Neodiprion lecontei: one gene and its partner. The protein of the gene in region 2 purifies or fractionates together with the protein of the main gene of each other region. This does not show direct contact. Links are inferred from orthologs where the notes say so. Each region holds a gene or a part of one and is shown on either strand. Other genes may lie near its edges.

What was found.
Region 1: the proteins of MKI67 FHA domain-interacting nucleolar phosphoprotein-like (region 2) and 60S ribosomal protein L18a fractionate together in Homo sapiens (co-fractionation; 3 studies listed by BioGRID and IntAct, with this or other methods). This does not show direct contact. The link is inferred for Neodiprion lecontei from reciprocal best matches to the Homo sapiens genes NIFK and RPL18A.

What each region holds. Positions count from the first base shown.
Region 1 is NC_060266.1:18,811,442-18,818,528, forward strand, and holds 60S ribosomal protein L18a, read right to left. Parts: upstream 4,547-7,087; 5' UTR 4,419-4,546; coding exon 4,401-4,418; intron 3,976-4,400; coding exon 3,796-3,975; intron 3,280-3,795; coding exon 2,944-3,279; 3' UTR 2,865-2,943; downstream 1-2,864. Other genes in the region: uncharacterized protein LOC107225246, read left to right, coding at 5,757-5,844, 5,930-6,190, 6,267-6,469.
Region 2 is NC_060260.1:4,669,051-4,677,491, forward strand, and holds MKI67 FHA domain-interacting nucleolar phosphoprotein-like, read right to left. Parts: upstream 4,164-8,441; 5' UTR 4,047-4,163; coding exon 3,960-4,046; intron 3,819-3,959; coding exon 3,627-3,818; intron 3,523-3,626; coding exon 3,414-3,522; intron 3,319-3,413; coding exon 2,420-3,318; 3' UTR 2,185-2,419; downstream 1-2,184. Other genes in the region: uncharacterized protein LOC107226332, read left to right, coding at 4,611-5,278, 5,407-5,716, 5,794-6,134, 6,259-6,475, 6,556-6,894, 6,973-7,126, 7,257-7,420, 7,510-7,815; 26S proteasome complex subunit SEM1, read right to left, coding at 8,302-8,356.

The sequences.
Region 1 (7,087 bases), on a different chromosome or scaffold from region 2:
AAAAACGTCTGACAATTCAAGGAAAATTAAATAAAGTATAAAATACGACTACAGGTCCTTCCCTTTTTTTCTCTTCTTAATCTATAAAGTAAATAGACGATCGTCAAACCTGCCGGTTTTTCCACACATGTAAAATAATTATGTAATTCACTTACCATCTTGCTACCTCGAGAGCTGCTGGCACTAAACTGAACACTGTGAAGCCTCTTAACTGGCTACCAATATCAGAAAAGGAGAGGGGTCCATACATTGTTGCTACTGAAATAATTTTGTCGTTCCGATCTCGCATTTCTCAAACTTCTTAAGAAATGCTCGTCAAGACTGATATAAAATGGGCGTTTTTTTTTTTAATAAGGAAAAGATTTGACAGTATTGGAAAATAGAGATTTCTAAAAACAAATGTATTGTTTTTTAATAACACCGGCCCAATTAAATTTTAAAAGGCTTATGGTTGAATAAACTTCAGATTTGGGTTTAGCGGACCAAAATGCATAAAAATCATACTTGGTCTATACTTCCATAAATTTTTTTCTTACCAAAAATGCTAATTTTTGGCGATTTTTATGGTTTTTTGCAATTTACTCAAAATTTTGAGGGTGTACGGGCAAAACTGACTTCAGATTCGGATTCAGCGCGTCAAAATACATAAAGATAGGTAGGTCCGGTCAAAAGTACAGACCACTTTTTTGTTTGTGGGCCGGTGTTATTAAAAAACAATACATTTGTGTTTAGTAATCTCTATTTTACATTACTGTCAAAACTTTTCCTTGTCAAAAAAGAGGCGCCAAAAACGGGGAACAAATCGATTCGCTCTCGGAATTTTATTGTTTCAATTATTTGTTCTCTTCTGGGTTACCCCCACTACAAAAAAGGTGGGTTCAGTAAAAAAAAAGCAAAAGGAAAGAAGGAAAAAATCGACCGGCTCTCGAAATTTTCTTTCTTTGATTTGTTTTTTCTCTCCGAAAATACAAAAAAAAAGCCGGGATTGAATTTAAAAATAAAAAAAAAAAGAGTGAACTGCGATCGAACCCGTGTCCCGCATCACTCCATCCTCATGTTTTTTTTTTTTTTTTTTTTTGAGGAGGAAACCATATTTATTTAAATGAACAATAAATGCTCAAATTTACAATATTGCACTTGTAATTATCTTAGTTTATGTAACTCCGGCTTAAATTTTAAGCTCAATCTAACATGTTGTTTTACATTAATTGGTTAACCAATTTTTTAGTGTTTTGTTTAAGACTTGAATGCAGTATTATAGCAAAGGCAGCAGTAATTAACTTAAATACAGGAAAACTTCGCGCAAAAACCTGTCATTGAAAATTCATCCTCATGTGGTATCCACTCAGCCACACCACAGCTACGTCCGTGATCGCGCGTTTGCTCGGTATGTTTATGGAGCTTGCTTGGAATTCGCTGATGGTTCTCTGGAAGATTCAGTTCGAGAAAAAAAAAATTTCCTCCAACCACTTGCCCATTGCACATTTTGCATAAATGTTATCGAGCTGGCTTCGTATATTTTTCCATAGACTGCGTATACAAATATTCGAGAACACCAGGCGTCACATATTTTCACATCAATAAAAAAATAATATTTATTAGAAAAAAAAAAAAAAAAAGTATTCGGGCTGGGAATGGTTAATTATTTTGGTTCAACGTCCGCTAATTGAATCCAAAATTTATCAAATCTGGAGATACTTTTATTCGCTGACATTCATAATTGAAACAAAAAAATCCCAATTCTTGCATTCCTGGAAACATTTGTGCGAGCGGGGACAAGGATGCGATTGGCAACCGCTTGCTCGAGCGACCGAGTATATCTATATATGCACGATTGTGGGCCACCTTCGGTGCATGGCCGCCTAGGTGTCAGGTCGGAAATGGGCCACCTTCGGTGCGTGGCCGCCTAGGTGTCACGTCGACGCTCCAACCTAGCTGGTATCACGAAAAGCCGAGCGTTGGAGATCTCCCTACTCATCTCTGTTTTTAGTACTGGCAGTCAATTTACGAACACGGCCTTAAGAGTTCATCACTGGAGTTCATCGATTGATCGATCTTGGGCAACCCTACAACCAATGACAATTGGTGTATTCATGTAGATCAGGCCCTTGATTCAGACCACTGATCTGTGTAATATCAGTGATTCAAGACTTATTTTTCACTCGTAAAAACGGCGCTAAGCGCCATCTAGACCGATCAGAAGGCAATTTTAAATTGAAAATATTTTCGCGAATGTCAGAATCAGGCCGAAGATACAAGTGCTGTTATATAAAAAGCGTATTATTTTAAGATTATAATTTGTAGCGTTTTGAACTGATTACGAAATATGGATCCAGTACAATATCTACGAAAATTAATGAGTTTCACTTCACATGTTTCATGTAATCAGTCGTGCAGTCGACTACCACCTATCACTACCTACCTTAGTTTTCTGTTCTCTGTCCCCAAACAAGGTAATGCAGTTTTTTCTCTGACGACTTTTCTACATTTCTTTCAAAATCTCATTCTAGCTTGAATAATTTGATATTTATGTTTTAAACAGCTATTTATCATCCCCGATCAAATTGAGCCGTTGAAAATTGTTTCTAATTAAAGTGAAGTGAGAACTGGATTGGAAACGCTAATGATCATTCGGTAATTACGTTGCCCAAGTTCCAAATGATGAATTGCAGTGATTTAAAAAAATGTCTTGCAGTCTAATCCAGTTTCTTGGGTTCCAAAAACCTCTCACAGATAAAAAGTATTAAAAAAATGGTCAACACACATTCAGCTCTGTAATCTATATATTAATCGAGACGGAAAGAATAATTTCAGATGAACTAATATAATTATTAGTAAGTTTGCATAGAAAACGAGGCTATGAATAGGATAGTTTAAAAATGTTTATTTCCCTTATAAGTGATTATATTTCTCAAATGAATACACCGAAGAAATGCAAATTGCTTAAAGGAAATAGGTGCGTGGTTTGCGTACGCTGAATAGAGGCATACGGTTGCGGTGTTGAATACGCTTGGGCAGCGGGAACCTGATTTTGGAATCATGGAACTGCTTGACTTGAGGTCTGCGGCAGTTTCCAGCCTTTACAACCTCGACTTTGATTATCTGAATGGAATGAGCTCTGGCACGATGACGAGCCCCCATGTCACGGTAGCACTGTGTAACAGCTCCGCTTACTGACAAGTCACGGTATTCCCTGTACATGTTGTGAGTTCCGGAACGGGAGTCGTACCTCAACCAAATACCAAAGTTCTTTATTTTTATCGGAGTTTTTTCTGCGATCTAAAAATTGATAAATTAAATCAATATCTAAAATGCACTGTGAATTTCGGCAATCATATCTTATCAGGATATATAGTAAGGAGTACACCTAATTTTTAATATTAATCACAAAGTCAAGAAAACGTTATTTAGAAAGTAACTCAGTTCAGAATTTATAATTTCCTCAAACTTTTTACGTTTTTCACATGAAAAATGTCAACTTATAGAGGCAGTTTTGGAATTGAACCTAAATACAGTGTTTCAACTTGCAAATATCCACAGATTTACCAACCAAAAACTTTATATTTACTGTAAATATTGGTGACAGCTGAAGTAAATACATAAATCAAAATTGTACTCGGCATGTACAAATATCTTCACTTTATAAACTTTGTAATTTGACGTAATCAAGTGAACACAAGGGTGCGATATAACCTAGCAGATTTCTAATTCCAAAGAATACAAAATCAATGACAATCTGTTTTATCAGAATTGTAACGACTGCATCTTTATTCCAAAACAAAATTTTTACTTTACCTGTTTGAGGTTAACAATTTCTCCAGTCGTTTTCTTGAATTTCCTTAACTGGCGGAGGAAATACCAAAATCGAGACTTGGCCACGATAGCGTCAGGAGCAAATATCCTCATTTTGTACAATGGGGTTACCTTTTCCTTCTCTGTGGGGAGCTTACGCCCGATCACCTCGAATTCCTTCAACTGTGAATAGAAACGAGCTTATATTAATTGATAACATAATGGAGCGGAATGATGAGGCTGTGACAATGAGTGCGTTACTCTCAATTTACTGATGTAATATAACCTAAAATAGAATCGCAGACTGAAGAAAGTCTTGAGAGTAGCTAAAAATGTGATGAAGTAATCAGCTAAAATGGGACAAAATAAGCCGAGTAACACTTCGAATCAATCGGTGTCATAAAGTTGGTTGTAAGAAAAGACTACGATAACCCACATGTGTCGGTTGCCATGCCGTCGCGGTCAAAAATCTGTATATTCGTTGGTAATTCGACTCGTGTTGGATAGATACAGTCGCAATTCGACATATTGGTGAAGTAATGTTCTACAGGCTTAGTTGCAGGTCTATTTTTGCATGATTCTAACAAAAATTGTGAAAATTTACTCACTTCTCCCTTAGCCTTCATTGTTCCGTGCGTCCTACGTGAAGTGGAACCGGAAAAAGAGGCCGCCGTGGTCAATGGACATTGAAAATGGCCGCCATGAACCACCGGGATTCGCGATTTTTAAAATCACTTGAAAATTTTTTCATTGAGAAAAATCGCCACAGGGAAATGCAAAAATCACTGTAGGAATCCATAATTGCAAGAGTTTTTGACCTTTTCATTAACTGCTCAAATGCTCTCCCTTGCATAGACAATGCCATACATTTGTTTGTCCGAGCTAATAATGATCAAGAATAGAGCGGAAACCACCAATTGGCAACTCCGTGATTGCGTCTATATAAAGCCTAGTTTACAACAGTTCACAATGGGCGTCGTATGCGAACGCGGATTGTCACAAACGTAGAGGAAGAACCATATCTGCCATCTCTTTTGCATTTCAAATTTTTTCCGTGAATGCAGAAGGGAAAAAAAGTTGACGGATTTATTCTATTTCTGTGAGTTCTCCCATCTCCTCTCATATTGACCGCCTTTCTTTGACGTCAATTTTCGCACGCAACCAATTCAACACTGAGCCATTTGATTGGTCAGTTCTAACGGAATAAGCCAATGAAATCAGTTAGTGTTGTATTGTGTCAGAGGATTGACGTAAGCGGAGAGCAGCTATGGCCGGCATATTACATAGGAATGCATACGTATCTCTCTATGTGTATAGATATTTTCAACATTGATATTATACAATATAATACATGTTTCATACAATGACCGTTGTGGAAATGCATCACAATACAAATCTTACACATGTCAATCGAAAGTACTTATGTATAAAAAATATATGACTATAATTATACAAAAAAGTTTACACGACTAACGCTTTACTGGATATTTGCTACCCTCCGTGTCCACGGTGTTGCTATATTATTGTGGCCACAAATTTGAGGCAACATGCTAGCTGCGGGTGATGCATTTTTGTTGCGTATTCGTCGAGAATATGCTCTTTTATTTCTATCGGGGATGATTTTATAAAATTGCTGAAACATTAAACATTTTCTGCTTGTTAGAATTGTTGAACCATTTTCACACGTGAAGGGAATTAGTTTTGCGAATCAAATAACAGTAAATGATCTTGTTGGATTGAAGGTCAGAATATTTTTTTCCCCATATATATAGTATCAAGTATTGAAACTAATCAGTGGTAATTCCCCACGCAGGTCAGGTCGAGCAAAATAAATTTATCACTGGTGATAAGGCCAGAGATTATTTTAAAGTAAACAGATATAATATTATTCCACGATTGCAGTTCAAAATTACGAGGCAAGCTGCCAGAGTAAATTAATCTGGTGTAAGTAATACGTTAACAAAATGTCCGGTCTGCTAGTTGCTCTGCCTCTTCAGCTCGCTTGCCAGCTGTATAGTAATGGTAATTTGAGCTACGGGAATAATAGTTTTGGTAGGAGGAGTGTGAAAAATTAAAAAGAGTAATACTATCCTCTGCGTAAGTGATTGATTGGTAAAAACTTTTTGTTTCATTCAAGATTACACGTCAGCGCCGAATCAACCCACTGTTCTACCAGCGGGTTATACCGCGTTTCCAGATGTCGGAGTAGCCTACAAGCTCCACAAAAATCAAGTCACGTGGAACACGGGAAGAAAACTGTGTGTCGCTGATGGTGGGAACTTGGCCGTCATCGACTCCTTCAAAAAGAACGACTACGTAGCGAGCATGAAAGGACTTGGTTCACACGTGGGTATTCATAGATTGTTCGATAATGTCGAATGGGTCAGTGTTAAAACTGGTAAGGTTTAGATAAAACTAACTAATTTCTGATGCTACTTATATTGTCCAGCATATTCGACCGTATATTTTTCTAGGTCAACCGCTGAATTTTATACCGTGGAGACCAGACCTAGGATCTGGGCAATGTGGGGCAATATTTAGTGATGGAAAGGGAGTAGGCCCTTGGAATTGCAACTCTGTATTACCGGTCTTGTGTGAGATTCCAATGTTCACTAATCGCGATAATGAGACAGAAATCGCCCAGAAGCAAATGGTCGCGTTAGTCCGCAACAATTAACTCATCGAGAACGTACCTATTTCTTCGATCATGGACAACACTCTGGGTCAAAATGATTTTGTCTAATTTTTTATGCACCATTTCAAATATACGAGTGCGATCTACCTGAAAAGATTCAGGGGCATACTTTCACTATCTTAAAATATGATAGCGTAGTTTAGAATTATAAATATGACTTAAAAATCTGAATAAAAAGGAATTTTTGAAGAATTACTGTTACAGAAGAAAAGAGTATGAGTCAGAATGACCCACTCTGTGCTTTAATGGTTTAAACCCTGGCAGATTTCGTCTCGCTGAAATTGAACTGAAGTTACACTTAGATTTCGAGGTGTAGTTAGGAATTTTTTTACGCTGTATTTTCACTGTGATTGCAATAAAAACATACCAAAACCCTGTTGCTATCACTGATACCGCTAGTTTTTGTTTTCTCACTCTAGAGAATACATATAGTTCATAAGTTGGCATTGTTTACCTAATTTCAAAAAATAATGACGTCCTTGCTGTTTTCTACTTGCTTCACATTTGTATAAAAATAAACCCCAGATCTCTCTCATAAAAGTATCAGCAAAACATAAATCGTGTAAAAGCAGTGTAGTAAACAAATCTTAAACAAATAAA
Region 2 (8,441 bases):
CAATAATTTTGAACAGTGATACATAATATTCGATATAAAAAGGGTTAAAGTTTAGCTTTTCTTTAATCGATGCGTATAATCACACGCGTATGTACACACCTGTATATACCATATATACACTATACGTTGATAGAATAAAATCACGATTCCAACGTATCAAATCGCGCGCCTGTATTTATTGTACGCATGCTGACGTCATCGAGCAAATCGCCGAAAGGGTGACGAGATAGCGGCACGGAAGCCGCGCATCACAAGCGAACGCATCGCGTATACCGCCAATGCATATGTGTGCACATTGCAGATGCGTGTATGCACTCAGGAGATGATGCAACGTTCGGCAGGAGATCCGCGATTCTAGCCAACCCACATTTCAAGTGGTGCGAATCGCCCCTTATATATGTATATTTATATAGGTATGTATATATGTCCGTCTCCCACTCTCGCTCTCTCTTTCTTTCTCTCGTCGCGGCGCCGCAAGGAGAACGTCATCGTATATGACGCATCGGAGATGCAGTTATTTTCATCTCCGACGGCAAAAAGATTGCCGACGGGCAAAAATTCACGGTTTTGCGACGCCCTCCGCGTTATATGTGCATCGTCCTTTCATTCCGTACGACGAGACGTGTTAATTAGGCCATCGGAATATTGCAGGATTACTTCATTTTCGCGTTTTGGACAGGACGAAATTACGCAGTTAATACCGAATTTGAAAAGTTTAGAAAGGCGTTAATTCCGAATTATTTGGTGGCGATAACAGAAGTGAAGTAATCAAACTTTGAAGAAACAACAAAGTTTCGAATGGTCGGAAAATCGACTGATCAAAGTTCCGAATTATGCAAGATTCCGAAAATTCATGTTACGATAGAACAAAGTTCCGAAAAGTAAACTTGCGATAGTTACGCCCTTCCAGCATTTTATCCTTTCGGAACTTTGAGCGTCAGGTTTCAGAGCATTCGAAACCTCGATGTTTCGTACAAAGTTTGATTTCTTGACTACATATTTCGCAACAAAAGAATTCGGAATTACACGCTTTCGACACTTTTTAATTTCGGAATTTGAACCCTATCCCCTGATCGACGTAATTTAAGTGGGTATATAAACAATCAAATTCCCATTTATCTTCGTCTTTTTCTTTCGAGTGTATCGAACTTAACACCAGCTTCTACAAATTTACTTCGTGACAAATATCCAGAGCATAATCCCTATATTTTATTCGATGAAGATAAATAAACTCTTTCAATTATTTCAGAGGCAAGTAAAAGGCTGAGCGGAACCGCGACGGAAAAACCACGCAAGGAAAGAACAGCATTTACTAAACAACAAGTTCGTCACTTGGAGTACGAATTCGCGCACATGAATTATCTCACCCGACTTCGGAGATACGAAATTGCCGTGGCTTTAGATTTAACGGAGCGGCAGGTAATTCTTTGTTAACGTTTATTTTCATAATTATTCAACTAATTCATACGATTTATGTAAATCACTTCGAATGAATGATTGAATAAAGCCTCGAGCCATGTTTGAATAATTCACAAAAATTATTAAACAAGGTGCAGTTAATAACTGTTCACGCGACATTGAATGATAGGGTTATTCAACTCTCATCCATTTTTTTCAGGTCAAAGTTTGGTTTCAAAACAGACGTATGAAATGGAAACGAACGAAAGGGTGCCCCTTATCTCAGAACCGCGGAAAAAAATTATGATTAATTCTGACCAGCGGAGTGGATATATAATAAAATATACAATACATTACGTATTTATATAAAATTTGTTTTTAATTAGAAGAAATAACTAAATTGTAAATATTATTCGCTAGTTTACAGTAAAGCGAATAAATTTATCGACAATATCAAAGGTTTATCGATTTCCGGAGCATAAAATAAATTCTTGAAATATTTCTAAAAGATTTATTATCAGGGCCGTGATAAATATGTATTAAAATTTTCAAAATATAATTATATAATATACTTGACAAACTAAAATATGGAACATATAAACTGTATTTTTTAGCACCAAACTCCATACTTTATGTAAAAAACGAAATAAGGAATAAAATTGATTTAAATAAACAAAATATATATTTACATATTAATCCAGGCCCTATTTGTTATCTTTAACTAAGATTTATTCAACGTTCTGTGCAGAACGTTTGTATAAAATAATTCTTTCGCAAAATCACAGATTACGCATACTTCGTTTATTAAACGCTGTGATGAAATACATGAGCTGTATGTACAATCCATTCCAAGGATCGTAGGAAAAATTATTTACGATTTCTAAAATCGTATATGAGGTAAAAGTTCCATTGATCTAATCGATCATTTTCACGAAACATAAAGTAAACCAAAACTCGATCCGTCACAATTGCTGAAAAACTCAATTACAATTAAATCCAGCTTAGTTCGATGCATCATCATTTATGCCGCTGCACCTTTCTTTTTCCCTTTCTTGCTCAGCGATACTTGAGCTGCTATTTGTTTTTTGGATTTTTTAACCGTTGGTACTAGGAAAGAAATTTTCTTTTGTCCCGACTTTTCAATGAGCGGCACTGCAGCAGGGATATTCTTTTGTACTTTCTGTTTTGTCTTTTTAACAGTTGGTGGATGATCAATCACTTCCACTTGCTGTTTCAGCTTCTTAGCAGTAGGCGGATGATCAATCGACTCAATTTTTCCCTTCAATTTTTTACCTACAAGTAATTCAGTTAACACTGCTTCTTTCTTCTTCTTAATAGGAACGGAATCAGCTGCCATTTTCTTCTTAGATTTTTTTGGCAAGCTTATTTCGGGTACTTGAACTGTGCATGTAGAAATTTTCTTCTTCGGTTTTGGAACTGCTAAAATACTAGCCTTGATAGCTACGGCAACCTCGTCAGCCGGTTTCAATTCTGACTTGTTCTTTTTCTTCGTCTTGTTAATCGCAGGTTCCTTGACAACTGCTTTTTTCTCCACTTTTTGTAAAGAACCATCTTCAGCGTCAATTTCACTCGCTACCGTACCATTGGAAGTTTTTATCTTTTTCGTTCCTGTTGAAGCTGGTCGAGAGGCAGAGCTTTTTCTCTTTTTAACTTGCGTGTCTTCGGGTACTTCAACGGGTTTAATCTTATAGAAAATTCCTGCCTGCTCAAGTTTTTTCTCCATAACAGAAATTTTTTTCATTTTCCGCTGAGCCAGCATACTGTCAACACTATTATCCACATTTTGGTTTTTTCGCATATTCTGTTCCTTTCTTTTCACTGATCGAGGAAATTGTTGCTTACTCCATGGACGCCCTGCGAAATAACGCCCATGCTGTTTCTCAGGCGGAATGTACGTCGCTGAAAACATTTTACGGAATAACAACAGTTAAGAAAACGTCGATACTTTACTGCTTATAAAATGAACTTGAATTTTCCTATCAAAACTAATCTACCTTTTAGCAGTCTTCCAGACATCAGGTAGTTGTTCATAGACTGTGCAGCAATTTTTGCCACTTCGCTGTGCATGAATTCTATGTACCCATAACCACAGCTTCTACCGGTCTACAAGATGGAAATGAATGAAAATACGTGTTTGCAACTTCAATGTTGTTTGGTTATATACTGAAAGAATAAGATCGTTGAAAACGAGGCTCCCAGATATCTACCTTTACAGATCTAACCACTCTAGCTCTGGTAACCTTCCCAAATTGCTTGAAATAGCTAATCATTTGTTCTTCGAAGAACCCATGAGGAATGTGCCCAAGATAAACAATCCCTCTATTAAGCGAAACTGATTCAGTTGACGATGGAACATCGCTGTTCTCGATAGGAATTATAGCTTCGGGTTTTTTAGGTTTCTGAAATGACAAATCGTCGAGTGTCAGTTTCAACTATCGGCTGACCGAAATAGCAGACTTGATTGGACTGGATAAGTTGCCGAATGCGCAACAGATTTATAGGTTATGTTAAACACGTGTTTGGATACATTCGAAACATACCGTTAAAAGTTTTTGCTTCACATTTTTAACGGCTTTGCTGAGTGTCGATTGATCCGATTGATCTGCAGCTTGTTTTGCTATCTTCATATTGTTTTTTCAAAAAAAAATTACTCCACTTTGAATTCTATTTATTCGATTATCGTGTGGAAAAAATTGAAGAAAATTAGCTGATGCGTAACGGTGGCGGGATTTGCGGAATTAAACTTTAGAGTCACTACGGTAGCGACAAAAGGTTCACTGAATATCCACCAGAGGTCGCCGCGACGCGTGATTGCCGCTTTTTTCAATGTATTCCGGAACACACTGTAGTAAAAAAATTGCGAGATCCGTCGGCTCCTGTCACACAACTGTCAACTACTGTCAACGTGAGCACAAGAGATAAGATCAGTAATCATCGATGAGGTTCGTTAATCATGTGTCATTATACGCGTGAAAATATAGACGTTATGGCAGGAATGACAGAGAAGAATATTCATCGTTGTTGCAACGACCTGAACGAAAGTTGGACGACATTTTTTTATATTTAGAGAAAAAGATTGTGAAATATATCAAAGACTTCAAAGTAACACGAGGTGCAACACGCAACACCAAAAATGATACTTATCTGTAGAAACAATTGAAGCAGAAAGTGGTTAACTAACGAAAATAAATATGGAGAAAGTATTCTCGATAAGCTGGTCAAATCGTATTTTATTGATCAGTCTTTTCTCTGTTACAATTTGCATGACGATTCAAACACACGTCGCTCATCTTACTGTGCCGCTTCATTTTTTAATATCTTGGGCAATTTTTGTGATCACTATATCGATATGGCTAAGCTGTTTCGTATTGAGATTAATGCTCAAAGTCAACGCACCTTTGACCACTGAACCTTTCAACAAATGGGCTCAGGGATGGATGAAAAACGACCAAACAGGTAGTAGTCATCAGCCACAAAAACCGGTAGTTAAAAGTGTCGATAACGATGAAGAAACGAAGGACGAAAATCAGATAGACAGACAAAACACAGAGATAAATAATCTTCTCAGAGACCTGAGGGCTGATGGAAATTTAGATGATGGATCTGTTTTAGAACAGGACCTGCCTGTAACTTTTGTGGAAAAAATAAATGTGGAAAAAGTTATAAACGATATTGATGCGAACTTTGTTAAAATTTGGTACAGAAATGTGAGCAATGACGATGCTTTTCCTAACGAGTCCAAACAGTTGCTCGAAAATCTGATTCTTAAATTCAATCATCAATTGATACGAATTGATCGAATTGAATTGGCTAGAAAAATTGGCAATATATTCTTGTTGCATTTGAAGGAATATCGTAGGTAATGATCCACATGTTAAACATTGTATAATTATGCACTGCAATTACTGATTCACCTAGCTTCGTTTTCATTGCAGTCTCACTTAGGAAACTAACGATTTACTGCAATGTTGTTATTCCTTTCATCAGAGCGCTGCGTCGTGTTGAGAAGGGAACTGCACTAGACATCGAAGAAGCCTATCGCTATGTTCATCCGGGTTCGCGAAGCCTAGCGGCGTTAGAGCACAGTCTTCATCGAGTGGTCACTGTATTGGCAAGAGAATTTTTACAATGGGAATTGACTAGTTCGTTACCTTGTAAACTCTTATTTTCAATACTGGCTAAAAAATTGCTCACAGGAATAGAAAGCATAAGTTCGCCAGAGTGGATTTTAGAAGAAATTGTAAGAGCGATTAGCTCAGAACCAGTAAAAAATGAGAAATGTGCTTCGGCTAGCGAGGTGGTAATACCTTCTTTCTATTTATTTGGGGATCTCCTTTAATCCAAATCATACTCATCAAAGTCGAATCTTTTCAGAGTGTTGTGTCTACGGCACTCAGTGATGCCATACGTTCCACAACAGCTGCAGCGATATCGCGTCCCTTACCTAAAGCTGGTCAAGGTGCTGATATTTCACCAGATTTCAAAGATAACAATCAGAATGCACAAAGCACAATGGAAAGGAAAGCTGCTCTGAGTTTGGAGGGCTTAGAAATAAGTCACAGAGGATTGTGGGCTAATGTTGAAATATCTGAACCTGATTCTGAACCAGAGGAAGACAGATTGTCTCCGGTTTATGAAGAACCAACTGATTTTGCAACGACTATCGCCAGACTGCGAAGTCTTTTGCACCAAAAATCCAACGCCTCAACACCATTGTAAATGTGTATTTTTTTCAACCAGTTTAATTCAGACCTGGCCGCTTCTCCAGGTTCATGCAAAATCTTAATTTGGAAGCTAATAAAAAAATAATCCCGAAGCTTCTACTAAATTTAATTGCAGACAATTGGAGGAAAAGTCTTGCACAGTTTACGAAGGCAGCCACTTAACTATTCCTTGGACAGAGTTTCATACGGCACCCGATGGCTCTCAGCAGCTCCTGTACTGCATACAGTTTGACGACATAGAACAGCATGGATCACACTTATTTGAAACTACTACAGCCACCGTTAAGAGGCAGTACTCAGATTTTGTACAACTTCACGCTAGTCTAGCAGAAGTAATTATCAACTGACATACAACCATGCTTAATAATCGCTGAAACACAGACGTAAAAAGCATTCAAATATCTAACTTCAGGTTCCATCATTGGCGGTTGCAATATCAAACATAACTTTACCAGAAGGCGGACGTGTGGAGATGGAAAATTATTTAAAACTAGTTTGCTCTCGTTTAGCTGCCGATTATCCACCACAATTACGTCACTTTTTGAGGCCAAGCAGCAGCAGTAATAAAAAAGCGGACACAGTGGCACCACGCCTAGATAGATTTTTGGCTAAAACCGTAAGCGGAGTATTCAATACTTTGAAAACTGTTGTGCCTGGTTTTGAAATGGATACAGAAATAGAAGTGATGCCGATGCCGACATTAATGTCACTGGCTGATGTTCCGTGGCGGTTTGTTGAGGACTTAAAATCTGTGAGTTTCAAGTGTCTTCCAAAGTTCTATCCAATAATATATTTCCACTACTGCCAATAACTTTTATTATAAAATCAGCAGAATTTAGCTCGAGAATTGCAGCAATTGGTCGCGGAAAGAATGGACTACTGTTCTGTGGACACGGCTTACGAAGCAGTCGAATCGGTCGAAGGTAGCGGTGACTCAGAGCTGCTGGCTCATTGGTGGGAAATTTTTAACACACCATACGACGGTCAGTAATCCTACCTCCAACATTGTACGCGATGAACAGATCTAATTTCCATCAATTAGCAGTAACTACTTTGAGAAGTTCTAAATTGAATGCAGCTATAACTTCAATAATAATATTTTAATTTTTGCAGAAGAACTTGATGAGCTGGACAGTAAGATAACTTTAACGCAACTAGTTGTCGACTTGGCTTCTGAAGTTTTGGGTGGATCCGGATGTGACAACGTTATAGAACAAGAAGCTGTTGTTAGAACTGTCAAATTGTTCTTTGGAAATATTGCTGAGACCACGTTAAAAGTAATGTTATTGACAAATCAGATTGTTAATTAACATTTACGCTAAGTGGCATCAGATTTGACTGTAAAATCCGTCTACTTTTGTTCCAGAATTCGATTCTCAAATCTTTTAAACACTTGGATAATCTGGACATATTTGCCAGCTCTGGTAACGAAAATACTAAAGGATTAGATATACTGCAGGATGAATTACTACAACAATTAATGTCAGCAATCCCACCTCACATAAAGATATTCTTAGGGGACAATGAAACAAGCGAAGCATTTAAATTTCTCATGAGGTCTTTGGATAATAAGAAAATTAATCGAGATTTGTGTTTACAATTATTGGACGTTTTAGCTTCACAATTATTAGCTACGTCCAGATCAACCAATCAAGGTGTATCAGCGTACTGAAAGTGAACTAAAAAGTTGTCCTAAATTTATTTTCAAGACAAAGTAAACATTCTCTGCTGCAATTATTTTAAATCTAATACCCACACCTGCATGTATTGATATTTGCTTCTAAAATGGAAAAAAAAAACGGGTAAAATGTGACAAAAATAGATTCTATTTGTATTTACACTGGTGTACTAGCTAAGGATGTTTAGCCAAATCCCAGTGAAGTTTTGTTATTAATTGTACAGATTTTTCAATTGAATGAAAAGTATGTATAAAAAAAAATTGTCTATCAAACAATGATATTTATTAGATTTTATCTCAGTGACTGTGAAAATTTTTAAACAAATATTCGTACATGAAAGAAACTGAGTAGAACTTTTTGCATTCGTTACATGTGCTGTAATTGGAACTTATCTCTTAAGAAATTAAAATGATACGTATGAAATACATATAGCAGTTTATTACTTAACAATTAACATACATCCACACTTCGTTTTGAACTCAATTTTCCTTTCCCGAAGGGTCACCCTGTACTTTCTGCTTTTCCAATTGAGCTCTGCAATAACGATATGGTAAATTAATTATGGTCGTTTTCTTGGTTGAAGCGAGTTAAGAAACGGGTAGTTTGATACCACTAATAA